Linked DNA regions of Mus musculus. The protein of the gene in region 1 interacts with the protein of each later gene in a biochemical or structural test. Links are inferred from orthologs where the notes say so. Each region holds a gene or a part of one and is shown on either strand. Other genes may lie near its edges.

Region 1 (5,079 bases):
GTAACACTTTAGAATACATAGTGCTGGCTGCAAATTTACTTTTAACTTATTGACTTCATTCATTTACTATGTATGGTGTTTTGCCTACACTGGAGTGTGTCTGGTGACCTTGAAAGTCAGCAGATGACACTAAATCCCTTGGGACTGAAGTGATAGTCTATGCAAGGTGAGCCTGCATGTGGTTGCTGGGAAATGAACCGGGGTCCTCTGGAAGGGCAGCCAATGTTCTTAACTCCTGAACCATCTCTCCAATCTGTGATTGTAATCTTGTTCAACAAAAACTAGCTTAGGTAAGAGTACTGTAGTTCAAATCTTAGCCCTGATGGGCCTGTAATTTGTAACAATACTCCTGCCACTGCCTTTCAAATGCTGGGATTCCAGGCATATACCACTATATCTACCTTCAAAGGTCATTTTCTTCCACTATTTTTGCCTTTATGGCTGTCTAAGAAGGAAATAAAAGGCAACTCTATCTACACCCCATTTTAAATGGGATCTTGCCTGATTTACAATGAATAATTCATTCTGAGAGCAAGGTACGCCTCCAAGACATTGTTTTAAGAAACAACTTAACCGGTGGTGGTGCACGCCTCTAATCCCAGCGCTTGGGAAGCAGAGGCAGGTGGATTTCTGAGTCCAAGGCCAGCCTGGTCTACAAAGTGAGTTCCAGGACAGCCAGGGCTACACAGAGAAACCCTGTCTGGGGGGAAAAAAAAGAAAGAAAGAAAAAAAAAAAACCCACAAAAAAAAAAAAAAAACCCCACAAAAAAAAAAAAAAAAAAAAAAAAAAAGAAAAGAAAAGAAACAATTTAATTCAGGAGGCAGAGGCAGGTGGATCTCTAGTTCAAGGCCAGCCTGGTCTACTACAAAGTGAGTTCTAGTAGAGCTAGGGCTACACAAAAAACTCTGTCTCCACAAACAACCACAAAACAATCTACTTCAAACACACCAATGGATGAGATACACAAGTGCCTAAGGGTTCTGAGCCTGCTTTGTATTCACTGGTAAAGAAGACAATTGGGCACACCAGGATGACCACCATTTCTGTAACCTTCTCAACTTCTTCCCATCTGCCCCGAGTTACTTACAAAGATCCATAATGTGGTTCCTGCAGATGGCACAGTTATCAACCACAATGTCCCAGGCCCAGAGGGCCACTGCATTCCACTGCAAGGAGAAGAGGGGAAACAATGCATTTTCCTTGTAATCTAACAGCTCATTAGGACTTCAGCTTGCAGCTTCAGTTACCAACGCCCCAGCCACAGGGCCTACCAAAGAAAGGATGTTTTTGGATTATACTATTTGGACTATATCAGAGGACAACAGCAGACCACCTGTACACTTCCCCATTCCTTGAAAGATGAAGTATATGAACATGGGTATCTTCAATTTTTTATATATAATGTAAAATAATTTAGCTAGCCAAACCAACGTGAGAATATTAGTACTATTTTCTGTACAGCTTTCCCTGACAGCTGTGGAAGAACTCAAAATCTGCATAAGCACGGGCTCTCCACAAAGTTTTGGACTCAGAGGCAAGGAAGTGAACAGACTGAACTAAGATAATAAATGGACCACTAAGTGGATAATCACAGGATAAGCTGGATAGCAAGTTACCTACCCAGTTTCAGTACACAGAACGAGGTCATCACTTAAACCTTAAAAGAGCACTGCAAGCAAAGTAGAATCCACTGCGATTTTCTTTTCCTCTTACCAAGTAAACTGATGTTCTCAACGTTCATATATCCAAACAATTACTTTGTTAGCTCCAGTAAGTCGACCTAAGACTTCTTATGTTAGACAAGGCACCCTTTTCAAGGACTACTTTGGTTTGACTTTCCAAATTCAAGCATAAGAGTTTAGTAAATTCTACATTACATTTTTATTTTTCATAATGGCTGCAGGCTGTAACTGAGCAGCAGTGGCCACAATGAGATGACACAAAAAGGGGGTGGGGTGAGGGATATTCTCAGCGACACGTTCCAAAAATAATCCATAAAAAGAAAACACCTTGCCCTCTTCAAGATCTTCATTTTTAACAGATCTGTGTAATCTTAGGTAGGAATCAACACTTTTAAAGGACTAGCAAACTATGAAGGGGAACGGCATACAAAAGGACGTTTCATATTTTTGTTTTTCTGTTCTCAGGTCATTAGCAATTAGTACTCCACCTTCTTAAATGGCACAAGTTCTGGGCTTGCTTTTAAAACAAAGCCCACCAGGCTTTTAAATTATCATTTTGTGTTAGAAGTGTACAGGGACATCAGAGAACCACTGGAGTGGCAGATGCTATGTGACAACTAGTAGCCATCTCGTTAGAACCAAGCTTTACACTTGACTGTGGGTTTAGAGGCCAATGGAGGCCGCCATACAATCGAGGGCCCACGCCAGGTCCCTCGGAGTCAATAGATTCTAGGATCCAGGAAGGGGCGGAGCAAGAACACCGGCAGAGCCCCTCTGCGCTGTCATCTCACGTTCCCGGGGTTCTCCGCACGGCCCCATCCTCCACCCGCCGCAGTCTCTTCACGAGTCTGCATCCCACCCACCCCACCCTGTCCTTCCCCCACCTCTCAGTCACTTCAGTGACAGCTCAAGCGCTTGGCTCCCGCATCGAAGTCAACCTCGCGTATTTCAGTAAGCAGCTCTGCGATTGGCCCCACAGCTTCCCCAGCAAGACTAATAGGGCCCCAGACACTGGGCCACCAGCATGCCGATCAACCCTAGGCCCGCCCCCCGGCTTCCGTTCTTGGTGCCCGGTCCCAGGAACGCCCTGAAATGAAGCCCTTTCCCCCGCGCCTAGCTCTTCCTCGGGCCTGCCAGCCATATCCGCGCCTCCCTAGCTTCCTTGAGGAAGGCGCTGGCGAGCCCAACCTTTTTAACTTCAAAGCGCTTCTTGCCCGCGCCGCTGTTGGTGCCGCTGGGGGTATCCACATCCATCGCCGCCGCCATTTTGGAAACACACAGTCTGTCGTGTGACCACTGCGCCTGCGCACCGGCTCACTTTCCGCCGCCTGCCCCGCACACCAGGCGCCTCCTCCCGCACCCCTCCCCTCATTGGCGCGAGCGTGGAGAAGGGGCGGAGCCTGCGGTCACGCCCCTTAAAGGCGCAGGCGGAGGTTTCCCGCCCCCCTCCTCCCCATCTCTCTCAGCTGGGGAGGAGGCTGGAGTGATTGAGGCGGGGCCGGGCGGGGCCGGGCGGGGCCGAGAGAAGGGAGCCAACCGGTGGGAACGTCCGTGAGGTCTCGATGCTTCTCGCATTCTGGGAAGCCCTGTGGTCTGACTCCTTCATTTGGGGCGGCGGCTGCTTCCTTCTTCTGCCCCAGGACTTAAGCCCTGGTCCAGATCCACAGAGCTGCCCCCGAGTCCGTGGTTGCAAAGGGCATGGGCTGGTCTTTGGAAACCCGAAACTCCAAACCGGCCTTCTGCTGACCGTGGTCGGCTTCGGAGCCAGGCGGTGTCTCTCTGGAGGCCTGTGGCCCGGCTTACCAAGGCCTGGTCACCGTCTGCGTTATCAATTTCAGATTGGGAAATTATTTGATAGGGAGAGAAGAGGCCCAGGAGCAAACAGAGCAGGCATTCTGCAACTTTGCCTTTATCTTCTCACAGGAAAGGTGATGGGGATGCCATAGTAAATCCCATAACCAGCCAGTTCTAAATGGTCCTCCTTTCTCCTCATTTCCTATCGAGTTTTGCTACTGTGCTACGATTAAATTAGTACATTTGTAGTGGCTGAACTTGAGTTCTGGTGAGGCATTCTGATTTTCTTACCGGTCATTACCATCGAGCTACAGAACACATACGTTTTGTAAGCTTCCATGATTAGTCCAGCCCTCCGCTGTTTTGTCTCCTAAATTTGCGGAGTTATGACTAGAATACATCACCCTTGAATTTCCTGTGTGTTCTAGTTCCCTCAACAGTACAACAAAAAGGGTTTTACCGGAAATGTGCCCCTCCCCCCCCCCAGAAAGGGTTTTTCTCTGTGTAGCCCTGGCTGTCCTGGAACTCAGGACTGGACCTAGGCCGGCTTCGAACTCAGAAATCTGCCTGCTTCTGCTTCCCAAGTGCTGGGATTAAAGGCATGCGCCACCACTGCCTGTCCTGAAATGTTCTGTTAAAAGAAATACTTGCTGGTGTGTAATGCGGTGTGTCATTGATGCACTTGCTAAGCAGGGCAATACATCCTGAATACCACCACAGTTTTAACTTGCACAGAGACTTGTGAGAGCCCTGCAAGGTGTGTGTGTGTCTGCCCAAGTTCTACCTCCCACACTAAATCTGTCATTGGTCTATGTGTCTACAGACCCCCTAAGGGATGCTAGAAACCCATAGTTAATTAAGATACTGAGGACATATTTATCCATTCGTCAACAACTATCCTGAGTATGTTACTTCGTCTTTTAATTTTTGGTTTATTATTATTATTATTATTATTATTATTATTGAGATAGGGCCTCACTCTGTAGCCCAGGCTGGCCTTGAAATCTGAGCAATTCTGTTGCCTCTACCTCCCAAGTGCTAGGGATAGAGGGAGGAGAACCACCATGCTCAGCTACACTGGGTTCTGCTTTAAACAGGAAAGCCACAGTGAAGTCAACTCAGTAAGGAAATAAACACAGATCAACAACTATATCAAGGTGTCTCAGGTGGCAATACATGCTACAGAAAACAAGATGGTGAGATTGAGGGGAGGAGGCAGTAATACATGTACATTTGAATAAAGGCATTGGGCAATTTTGTTATTGTGTGAACATTCTATAAAGTACTTACGCAAACCTAGATGAGGTAGCCTGTTACACACCTAGGCTATATTATGAACTTACTTCTCCTAGTTTCCAAACCTGCACACGTTGTTACTGTGCTGAATACCATAAGCAACCTTAACACGATTGTATTTGTAGATCTAAATACAGCAAACACACATTAAAAATACACTATCAAAACTCTAGCGATATAACTCAGTTGTAGTGTACACAAGGCTCTGCATTGCATCTCCAGCACTGCAACAAACAGGTGTAAAACATGAAACCAGGTGAGGCTGGACAGATGGCTCAGTGGTTAAGAGCATTCACTCGCTGCTTT
Region 2 (4,842 bases), on another chromosome or scaffold:
GACAACCATCTGTACCTCTAGTTTCAGAGGCTCCAATGTCCTTCTGAACTTCAAAGGCACCAAGCAAGCACACATGTGGTATCCATACATGAATCTTTAAAGGGGGAACATAAATTTGAAAGAGAGAAGGGCATATGGGAGAGGATTAAATGAAGGAGAAGGGGGGTGTAAAATTATAGTCTCAAAACAATAAAAATATTTTTCTGAAAAGGAATTTAAACTAGATAGAGCCAGGTGTGAGGGTACATCTGTGCCTTTGACCTCAGCAACTCTGGAAGCAGAAGCAAGTCTATCTCTGAGAGTTCTAGACCAGCTACACAGGAATAAACAGCAAGACTCTGTCTTGAAAAAACAAAACAAACCATACTCAACAGGAAATAAAGACTTTTTCTTCCTTTCCTCCCTCTGGTTACACAGCCCTGGTTGGTCTAGAACTTACTGTATAGAGGAGGCTGACCTCAGATTTGCTTGCATAACTTGTCCTGCCTTTGCTTCCTGACTGTTCAGATTTCAGGAGCACCTCTGGGTCTGGACAGTACTGGAGATGGAACCCAGGGTTTTCACTATGCTAGACAAGCTCTCTACAAATGAGGTACACCCCTGGTCCCCAAAGGTAATCTTTTTCAAAAGGACTAAAGCTATGATTTGTATATTTTGTTGTAGGTGTGTTGCTGGAGTTTAAAAAAAAGAAAATCTGAGCTTTGGGAATGCTAGGCAAGTATTCTACCACTGCGCTACAGCCCTAGCACAAAGCCTTTATTATTTTATTATTATTATTGTTGTTGTTGTTTGAGACAGGGTTTCTCTGTGTAGCCCTGGCTGTCCTGGAACTGGCTCTATAGACCAGGCTGGTCTCAAGCTCAAAAATTCAAGTGCTTTTGCCTCCTGAGTGCTGGGTTAAAGGTGTGAGCCACCACTGCTCAGCTTTATTTTAAATTAGTATATGCTACAGGAAATATTTCCATTTTATCAATTCAAAATCATTAGTAAGCAAAAGTCTTACTTTCATAGCTTTTTAAAAACAAATTTCAATAAGAGATTAACTACCATTTACCTTAACTATCAATTGTTCCAGAAATAATACTTTTTGGAAAATAGACTGTATCCTTAAGCTCAGCATGGTGCTACTTTAATCCCAGAACCTGGAAGGCAGAGGCAGAGGCAGAGGCAAGAGGCTATCTGTGAGTTCAAGGCCAGCCTGGTCACAGAGCAAGTTCCAGCATAGCCAGGGCTACAAAGAGAAACCCTGTCTCAAAACAAAAACAAAAACAAAAACAAATAAATAAAACAAAACCATCCTCTTTAAAATTAACCAGTAGTCTGCTTTGAAAATGTTTTCTAGGAAATATATCATATGAACTCCACTTTGTGCAATACTCTCAATATCTATAAATTAAAATTTATATTTGACATATAGCATACCTCAACATAGAAACAATACCCTTTCCAATCTATCACTAATAAACTGGAACCTTTGCTTAAACTTTAAGCACCTGCATCTAAAAAGTATACTTGTATGCTGACCACAAAAGATGAAGCAAACAGTTGGTAAGGATGCTACACTCTTATATAACGTTCTAAAAATGTCCTTTTACTAAGTATTCAGCAACTATCACATGCATGAATGTTAAGCATTCCCTATCAATCCTATTTTCAAAAAAGTTGACCCAGTTTAAAGCCTGAAATTTGAGGCTTTTGGACGGTAGAAAATAAGAGGTAAGTAGTTGGGCAGTCCTAAAAATACCCATCACAACTACATGACTAAGATATTCGTTTAAAACTTGTGCCAAGATAACCCCTCCCTTCAAAACAAACGAAAACTGACTCATTGGCCTATTTTACCTAATTTTGGAAATAAAATAATAAATGAATTCCTAAACACCCATTCCCTCTGTCTCTACCCCCCACAACATCTTCACTCAGGGATTCTACCCTCCAAATAAACTGCTTCAGTCAAATCAAGACAAAACAAAACAAAACAAAACAAAAACAGTATCTCCAAGTACTGAACTCAGAAATAATTAATGGAAACAATGTCTATATAGTGGCAGCCTAAGGAAACACTCCACCATGAGAAAGCCTATCACCTCGGATGCAGCTCATCTGTGGGACGACCCCATTTGTTGGAGCTAACCACCTAAGCAAAAGCTTTTAATCTTGTCTCTCGAAAGTGGGAAACTATCAATCTGCCTGACGCGTTCCACCCTTTGTGGATGTTTGTACATGGAGTGTGTGGGGGGGGGGGGGGGGGTGCTAGTAAACTTGGTAGGAAAGGACAAAGGGCATTTTGGAAGCAGCAGAGACTGACTATAAAGTAAATGGAAAACGAGGACAGAAAGAGGACTAAATTAAAGTCCCCTCGAGTGGATGAACAACAAGACAACGGCCAGCACACCACCCTCCCTTTTTTGGCCACCCCCATGGTCCTCTTCCTTATTACCACCTACTGTAATCAAAAGTTGGACTACCACTACCCAAGACCAACAAATCCTCCAAATGTCAGGGCACTAGCAACACGGGCAATGACAGGCTAATATTCCTCCCCCACACCCCCCTAAAAAAGAGAAAAGTCCAATCCAGTAAGTGCAGGTCACCCTGCCCTCTGGGGCAGTTCCAGCCTGCGCAGAGAAGGCTCAGATGGGTCCGAGAAAGAGAAGCTAGACCATCCCTATTTCCACACACCCCTCAGCTGGAGAAACAAAACAAAGGCAGCCCTCCTTCCCGATAGCCACTACCCCAGCCAAAGAGGCTTTTCCTATTTCCCGGTGCAGTCTGGCCTCCCGCCCCCGCCCCATGACAAAGAAAAGGCACTTGGTGAGCAAGGCCTTCCTGCCTCTACGGATGGGGGAGGGGGCTGCGAGGTGAGGAGCCCCCACCCCCCACCCCCGGCTCCCCCGAGCTCACGCTCCCCGCCAGCGGCGGAAAGCCGAGACCGGGGAAGCTGGGCCGAGAAAGGGTGGCGGTACCTTGAAGTAGCCGCCTTCGTAGAGGGTGTTAGGGGGTCCGAAGATGGCCACCTCCCAGTTGTAGAGGTCGGACTCATCCACCAGGGTGATCCGGAAGCCCTCCACCGGTTCCTCCTGCAGGGATTTCAGCTCAAGCATCAGGGCTTTCTGCGAGCTGGTCATCTGCTGCTGGGCCATCGCGGCGGCGGCGGCCGTGCGGGGCCGCGGCCCCAGTCCTCGCGCACCGGCCGGGCCGGACCAGGCCCCTCCCCTCCGCTCGCCCTCGGGCCGGGCCGGGCCCCTGTCTGTCCTCACACGCCTGGCGGGGCCGGACCAGGCCCCAGACGGCCCGCGGGCCCGCCCGGGGTCCTCCTCACTCACGACTCGGGCCGGCCCGGGCCCTCCTCACACTCGGGCCGGGCGGGGGCGGGCCTAAGGGAGTTGGGGGAATCCGCTCCGGGCTCCGGGCCTCCCCCCCCCGGAGGGGGCCTCTACTTATGGGGGGGGGAGTGGAGGTGGAAGCGAAGGAAGGCGGCGGAGGGCAGACGATGGTGAAGACAGGGGTGGGGGGGCCGAGGCGGCCCGGGATCGCCGTGCTCGCTCGCCCTCTCGTTCTCCGCGGGGGCCGGAGGGGCGCACGAGGGAGGGCGCGCCGTGCGCTGGGGTCTCGGGACGGCGGCGGCGGCGGCTGCGCGGGGGGAGGGGCGGAGGAGGAGAGCGAGAGCGCCTCGCGCCGCGGGAGCAACAGAGCAGAGAAGGAGGGAGGGAGGGAGGGAGGGAGAGGAGGAGGGGCGCGCGCCGGGAGGGGGGCGGCTCGCGGCGACAGCGGCCCGGTGCGCGTGCGCGCGCCCCTCCCTCCCTCCTTCCCTCCCCCCCCCCCCGCCCTCCTCGCTGTGCTCTGCTCTACTCTGCTCCTGCCTGCTCGCTTCTCCACTCCCCCCTCCAACCCCCACCCCCAACCCCGGCCAGGCCCCACGGTGGCTGCGCTTTGTGACGCTTGCGCGTGTCCCCCACCCTTAAAGAGCCAAGCGGAGGTGGGGATCAAGGGCGGGTCGCAGAGGATTACTTTGGGCCCTAAGTGACGGTTGTGCGGCTGGACGCCGCGGTTCCAGAGGCGTGTCCCGGAAGGAACCTCAGCTCCTAAGGCTCTCAGCACTAGCGCCCAGTGTGTCCCCTGGCCTCCGCAACCTTCCTGTGAGGAGCCCTGGTCCTCCGCATGCACCCCTCGGTGACACCCAGGCTGTGGTCCTTACACTTAGTAGTGCTTCAGTAGGTTGTGTCTCCCACCTCAGGGGAGGCAGTCTCCCAAAGGAAAGCTAGAGAAAAGCAGGCAAGCTCCCGCTTCCTTTTACCGAGAGTAAGTAGTAGGTTGTGTAGAAAGCGGAGAGAACTAATGTTGAGCCCGATTACGGGGCTTCCATGAGATTTGGGGAAGAGCGCTGGCTATAACTTAGTCTACTTCTTTGCAAAATATTGATGTTGGCCTAGTGTGGCCTTGGAAGGGGACAAAAGCAAAATGATCAGTGTGAGGCCAACCTGGTCTACTTAAGTAGTTCCTTACCAGTCAGTACTACATAATGAGACCCTCTCTCTAAAAACAGACGGCTGCGGTGGAGCTTTTTAACTCTACGGATCTACCTGGCCGTGGCGTGGCTAGGGAGACACAGTCTTCAGTTCCTGGATTAGAATACTCTAGGATTGTTTGCTATAATGGTGGCACATACTTTTGATTCCAGCACTTGATAGGCAGAGACAGTCTGATTGTGAATTCAAAGATAGCCTGGTCTACATAGCAATTTCCAGGCAGCCAGAGCTACATAGAGACCCTGTCTTTAAGAAAGAAAGAAAAAGAAACAAAGAAACAGAGAAAGAAAAAAGAAACAAAGACCTCAGAACA
Region 3 (4,834 bases), on another chromosome or scaffold:
TTTTTTTTAATTGATCTATCATACTGAGTGACTTCTTGGTGTTTAATGCATCACAAAACAAACAACAAAAAACTGCCACTAAATCCGTCGAGCAGTAAGTCATAAGCTAATAATATCACAGAGAAATACACAAGCTGTCTGACTTCATGTGTGTGTGTGGTGCTCTTACTGGCTTCCCAGTAGCCACCACTGTGACACACCATAATCCAATGACTCCGTCTCAGGGAACTTTGGCAATAGATATATTTTTCACTGTCACAATGAAGGGATGTACTACTGGTATCTAGTAGGTACAGACAGGAATGCTGTAACCTTTACTGCACAGGTACAACCCTCCACAGCAACAACTGCCCTAAATGTCATGGTACCAGAAATGAGAAATTCTGTCACTCAGGGCACCATTCTGCTCAACTGAATGCTTACAAAGCCTCGTTACAGGATAAATTCTCCTAGGTAATGAATCAAAACCTTTTATCACTGGCAAACTACTAGTTCAACAAATGCAGCCACTGCTATACATTTCTGAAACTCTAGCACTGAGGACACTTTATCAGATTATGTTACCTAGTCAGCTCAATTTAGTATTTTTAAGGCATTTATACAAGTTCATTCATTTCAAGATTATATTTTACCATTTACTATTTTCAAGTGATAAGAAAACTCATTTAAAAATGCTAAAGTAAAAAAGAAAAAGCCTTTATTTTTAGGTGCTCATCCAGTCTTCTCAAATAAATTTAATATTTTCACATTTCAACCAACAAACTTTGTTCCATACATTTTGAGAAAGTTAAGTATCCCTAAAATATGATTTAAACTATTATTTATTATTTCTGTGGAAAATAAAATAAATAAACCTAGTATGGTGGTACAGGATTCAAATTCCAGCTCAAAGAACAAGAAGGTGGGGGGCAGGCACTTGGAAGGCAGAAGACAGATCTGTGTTAAGTTCAAGGCCAACCTGATCTACATGGAGTTCCAAAACAATCAGGGTTATATAAGAGAAAACCTGTGAGAGAGAGAGACAGACAGACAGACACAGAGAGACAGGCAGAGAGAGGCAGGCAGGCATATTTCTGTGAGTTCCAGACAGTGAAGGACTCCTTAGAAAAACTGTCTAACCTCAGCACCCCCCCAAAAAAAAGATGCTCACAAATGGGTCTTATTTTAACATAGTGGTATTGTTAAACTGTAAAATCTTTTGCACCTTTAAAAATGTATGTCATTTCCACTATGTAAGGTTATCCTTTTAATATTCAGTGTTTACCGTCTATTTAATAATTTGCCACATAATAAAAATTAATGCAGATAGTTGATTTTATTGTTAGTTTTTGTTTTTGTTTTCTGAGACAGAGTTTCTCTACATAGCCCTTGATGTCCCAGAATCCACTACAGTAGACCAGGCAGGTTTCGATAAAGAATTCCTACTAAGTCAAAAATTTTAATTCCTTCATCCAAAACAAAAGGCGAAAAAGACCTCAGAAAAAGAATGTTTTTAAATAAGATGCAATAAATTGTTTAACTTCTTTCGAAAATATTTCTGATGGGGATTCTAACTTTTCCATCCACTTCAAATTGCTGTCCCACCTAGAATTTTAATACTTGTCCAAACCTGTTAGCTCATGGTCTAATAATAAACCTAATTATACAATCTGTAACAGCCCCTGTCGACCTTTTCCTTAAGAAGTCATAAAGGTGATTTAGCTGACACCTCAAACTCATAGAAATCTATTTCATTTATCAACATTCCGGCTTTCAGAAAGTTTAAAAGGGGGGTGGGGGGAGAGGACTGGCTACAGGTTGAGGAGGGGTGAAGTCGCCTGAACCAAGCCAGGCACACGCTTGGCGTAGGACAGCAGGGCTAACTACCGGTTCATTTCTCTTTAAATCTGGCAGCACGTGGGGCGGCATTGTGAAGGCACCAACCCGCCTCCTCCCTCCCCCCCTTCCACTCCGCACACGTACGCCTCCAGCGCGCATGCTCCGCTCACACAGTCCTAGCAGAGTAGGAGCCAACCCCCTAAAAAGTCAACCTGGAAGCCGCAAACGGCCAGAGGCCGGGACAATGGGGGAGGGGGACAGAGACTCCACGGGGGAGGCACTGAGCCGCCGCCCCTGGCCAGAGCCTAAGGCGGGCCGCAGCCCGGTGGCCGCGAGCCTGCGCGAAGGAGCCCGAGCCGTGCCCACGGAGCACAAAGCCCGGGCCGGCCAGCGAGCCGCTCTCCCCAGCGCCCGCGCCCACCCTCCCCCAGACGGGCGGCGCAGCCCGAGCTCGTGCCAGGCGGAGGCAGGCGAAGCGGAGTCGCGCTCCCCGCCGAGCCCCCCGGTGCCCCGCGTCAGCACCCGGGCCAGCCCCGCCGTCGCTTTTGTTGTCTGCCCTAACTCCGCGAACCCCGCGCTGCCGGGCCAGAAGTTTGGCGCGCCTCCCCTCTCCGGCCCCCGACACGGCTCGGACTCACAGCCGCGCGGGGACCCCGCAAGCTCCCGGGGTCCCCGAGGTTCCGCGGCCTCCGCCGCACCTGAGCCCGGGATCCGCCCCTCAGGGAGGGTCGGCCCGACCGGGACCCACGCCCCTCCCCCGCAACGCCCCAGTGCCGTGGGGGAGGGGGCAGCCGCCCAGGGCGTCCGGCCCGTCCGAGGGCGAGGCTGGGGAGCGTCCCCGCCCCCAACACCCTCCACAGCCGGGCCAGGAGTGTCGCCAGCTCGCCGCGACTCGCGGGCTCCCACCCTCGCGGCCCGCCACCACCCAGCCTCCGAGCGGGCGAGAGGAGGCGAGTGGCTCGGCAGTCCGCGATCGCGGCCCGGCGCCCCGCCGCTCACCTGCCAGCTGTCTTCGCAGTAGCAGCGCCGACTGCAGCTCCGTCATCCTCCCCACCGAGAGCCCGGGCCGCCACCGGGACTTCGACGGACTGGCGACAAGCTCTGCCGGTGCCTGGAGCTAGATGTGTGTTGAGGAACCCGGACCGGAGCGCCGAAGCCGCGGGGAGGCCGGTCTTGGGAGACCCGAGAAGCACCTCGCCGCCTATGCGAGTCCGCTCCGCTCGGCTTTCCTCGCTCAGCGCCTCACGCCCGGAAGGGGAGGGTACCCGGGCCGCCGCGGCGCGCACTGGGACTTCGCTCGCCCGCTTCCCTCCTCTGCCCGCCCGTCGGCCCCACCGGTGCCTTCCCCCGCCACTGCCTCACTGCGCGCAGGGCCGCTCCGCGCAAGCGCGCTGAGCCTGCCTCCTTCAGAAGCAGCACTCCTGCTAGCCCGACCCCTCGGCCCTGCTGCCCCGCCTCCGGCGGTGGAACCCCGCCCACCGCGCGCAGTGGGCTCAGCCCCGCCATCTTGGGAAGGTCCACGCCCGCCCAGCTGCGGAAGCGTCGGCTGGTAGACGCCCCGCGGACGCCATGACAAAGAGGTCGCGGAGGGTCAGGACGCTGCCTCCCGGTATAAGCAGGAGGTCTAAGCGTGATGGGACCAGAAGTGGTAGATGTTGGCGAGGACCCAGCAGCCATCCAACACTACATCGGAGGTGTGCGAATTAGTCATTGTTACAAAGCCGAATTTAGTACTGGTGTGCACCATTTTAAGCAGCCGCAAAATAGAGTGCATGGTGATAATTCATAAAGAATGCACAGAATGGTCCTTGAAATAAAAATGTTATGAGTCTCATAGCAGAAAACGTTTAAGTAAATAGTAAGACTGAGTAAAGTGCAGAGTTGTGATTAGCACAACCTGATAAATGGTTCGGATTCAGGTGGTATTCTCCTGTAATCTCAACACTTGAGGCTGAGGATTAGAAGACCCAGGTCCCCTTCGCTGCACAGTGATACCCAATCTCCGTCTGGGGATGAGGATCCATAATAGATCAGACTCCTCTAGAAAAGGCACCTACTATGTAAAGTCCAAGTGTGAAAGCCGAGATTAGGAAAAGTCAACCTTATCCAACCTCCTTGCCCATTTCCCAGTTGAGTGCTTTGTCAACACTGTAGCAATAAAGAAACAAAAAAGGGAAGGGGGAAAAGTAACATTGACACTCAATTTTGTTTCTTCTTTCTTTCTTTTAAAGATTTATTTACTTATGTATATGACTACACTGTTGTTCTCTTCAGACACACCAAGAGAGGTCATAGGATCCCATTACTGATGGTTGTGAGCCACCATGTTGCTGAGAATTGAACTCAGGACCTTTGGGAAATCAGCCAGTGTTCTTAACCGCTAAGCCATCTCTCCAGCCCCTTGCTTGTTCTTTCAATAAGTGTTTGTTCAATCCCTACTTCCCTGTACCTGGACTGTAGAAAACAAAAACTGTGCATAGGAAATCAGGTCCATTTCTACCCACAAAAGCATGAAGCTTCTGTGAACTCCAAGTAAAGTGAACAAGAGGAGCAGATTCCGTTAGGCATGTAATAAAAATTACTGGGCAAGCAGGCACAAGGCCCTGGCTTACCTCCCTAGCACTGTCCCACCAGACCAAAGAAACAAACATTGAGTGAATCTGCCATTTTGAAATACTGCCCACCTAGGGACTAATCCAGCTTTATGGTTGGGATAGGGGAGGGGTTGGTTTTTTGTAGTTGTTTTGCTTGTTTGTTTGTTTGTTTTGGTTGGTTGGTTTTGGTTTTTTGAGACAGAGTTTCTCTGTATAGCCCTAGCTGTCCTGGAACCCCTCTGCAGACCAGGTTGCAGGTTCGAACTCAAGAGATCTGCCTGCCTCTGTCTGGATTGGAACTAAAACCATGCCCCACCATATCCCTCTGTGGGTTTGTTTTTAAGGATTTTGTTTTAATGGGTATATATATGAGCCGGGGTGAATTTATGTGTACCATGTGTATGCCTGGTACCCAAAATCTG

The links.
Region 2: the proteins of Rbx1 (region 1) and Ube2r2 form a complex in vitro, tested with the Homo sapiens proteins (10 studies listed by BioGRID). The link is inferred for Mus musculus from reciprocal best matches to the Homo sapiens genes RBX1 and UBE2R2.
Region 3: the proteins of Rbx1 (region 1) and Ube2g1 form a complex in vitro, tested with the Homo sapiens proteins (8 studies listed by BioGRID). The link is inferred for Mus musculus from reciprocal best matches to the Homo sapiens genes RBX1 and UBE2G1.

Annotation. Positions count from the first base shown.
Region 1 is NC_000081.6:81,464,243-81,469,321, reverse strand, and holds the start of Rbx1 (E3 ubiquitin-protein ligase RBX1), read right to left. Parts: upstream 3,007-5,079; 5' UTR 2,950-3,006; coding exon 2,872-2,949; intron 1,168-2,871; coding exon 1,089-1,167; intron 1-1,088. UniProt on the Homo sapiens protein: E3 ubiquitin ligase component of multiple cullin-RING-based E3 ubiquitin-protein ligase (CRLs) complexes which mediate the ubiquitination and subsequent proteasomal degradation of target proteins, including proteins involved in cell cycle progression, signal transduction, transcription and transcription-coupled nucleotide excision repair.
Region 2 is NC_000070.6:41,134,371-41,139,212, reverse strand, and holds the start of Ube2r2 (ubiquitin-conjugating enzyme E2 R2), read right to left. Parts: upstream 3,193-4,842; 5' UTR 3,144-3,192; coding exon 2,967-3,143; intron 1-2,966. UniProt on the Homo sapiens protein: E2 ubiquitin-conjugating enzyme that accepts ubiquitin from an E1 ubiquitin-activating protein, and catalyzes its covalent attachment to other proteins by an E3 ubiquitin-protein ligase complex.
Region 3 is NC_000077.6:72,605,619-72,610,452, reverse strand, and holds the start of Ube2g1 (ubiquitin-conjugating enzyme E2 G1), read right to left. Parts: upstream 3,193-4,834; 5' UTR 2,864-3,192; coding exon 2,818-2,863; intron 1-2,817. UniProt on the Homo sapiens protein: Accepts ubiquitin from the E1 complex and catalyzes its covalent attachment to other proteins. In vitro catalyzes 'Lys-48'-, as well as 'Lys-63'-linked polyubiquitination. May be involved in degradation of muscle-specific proteins.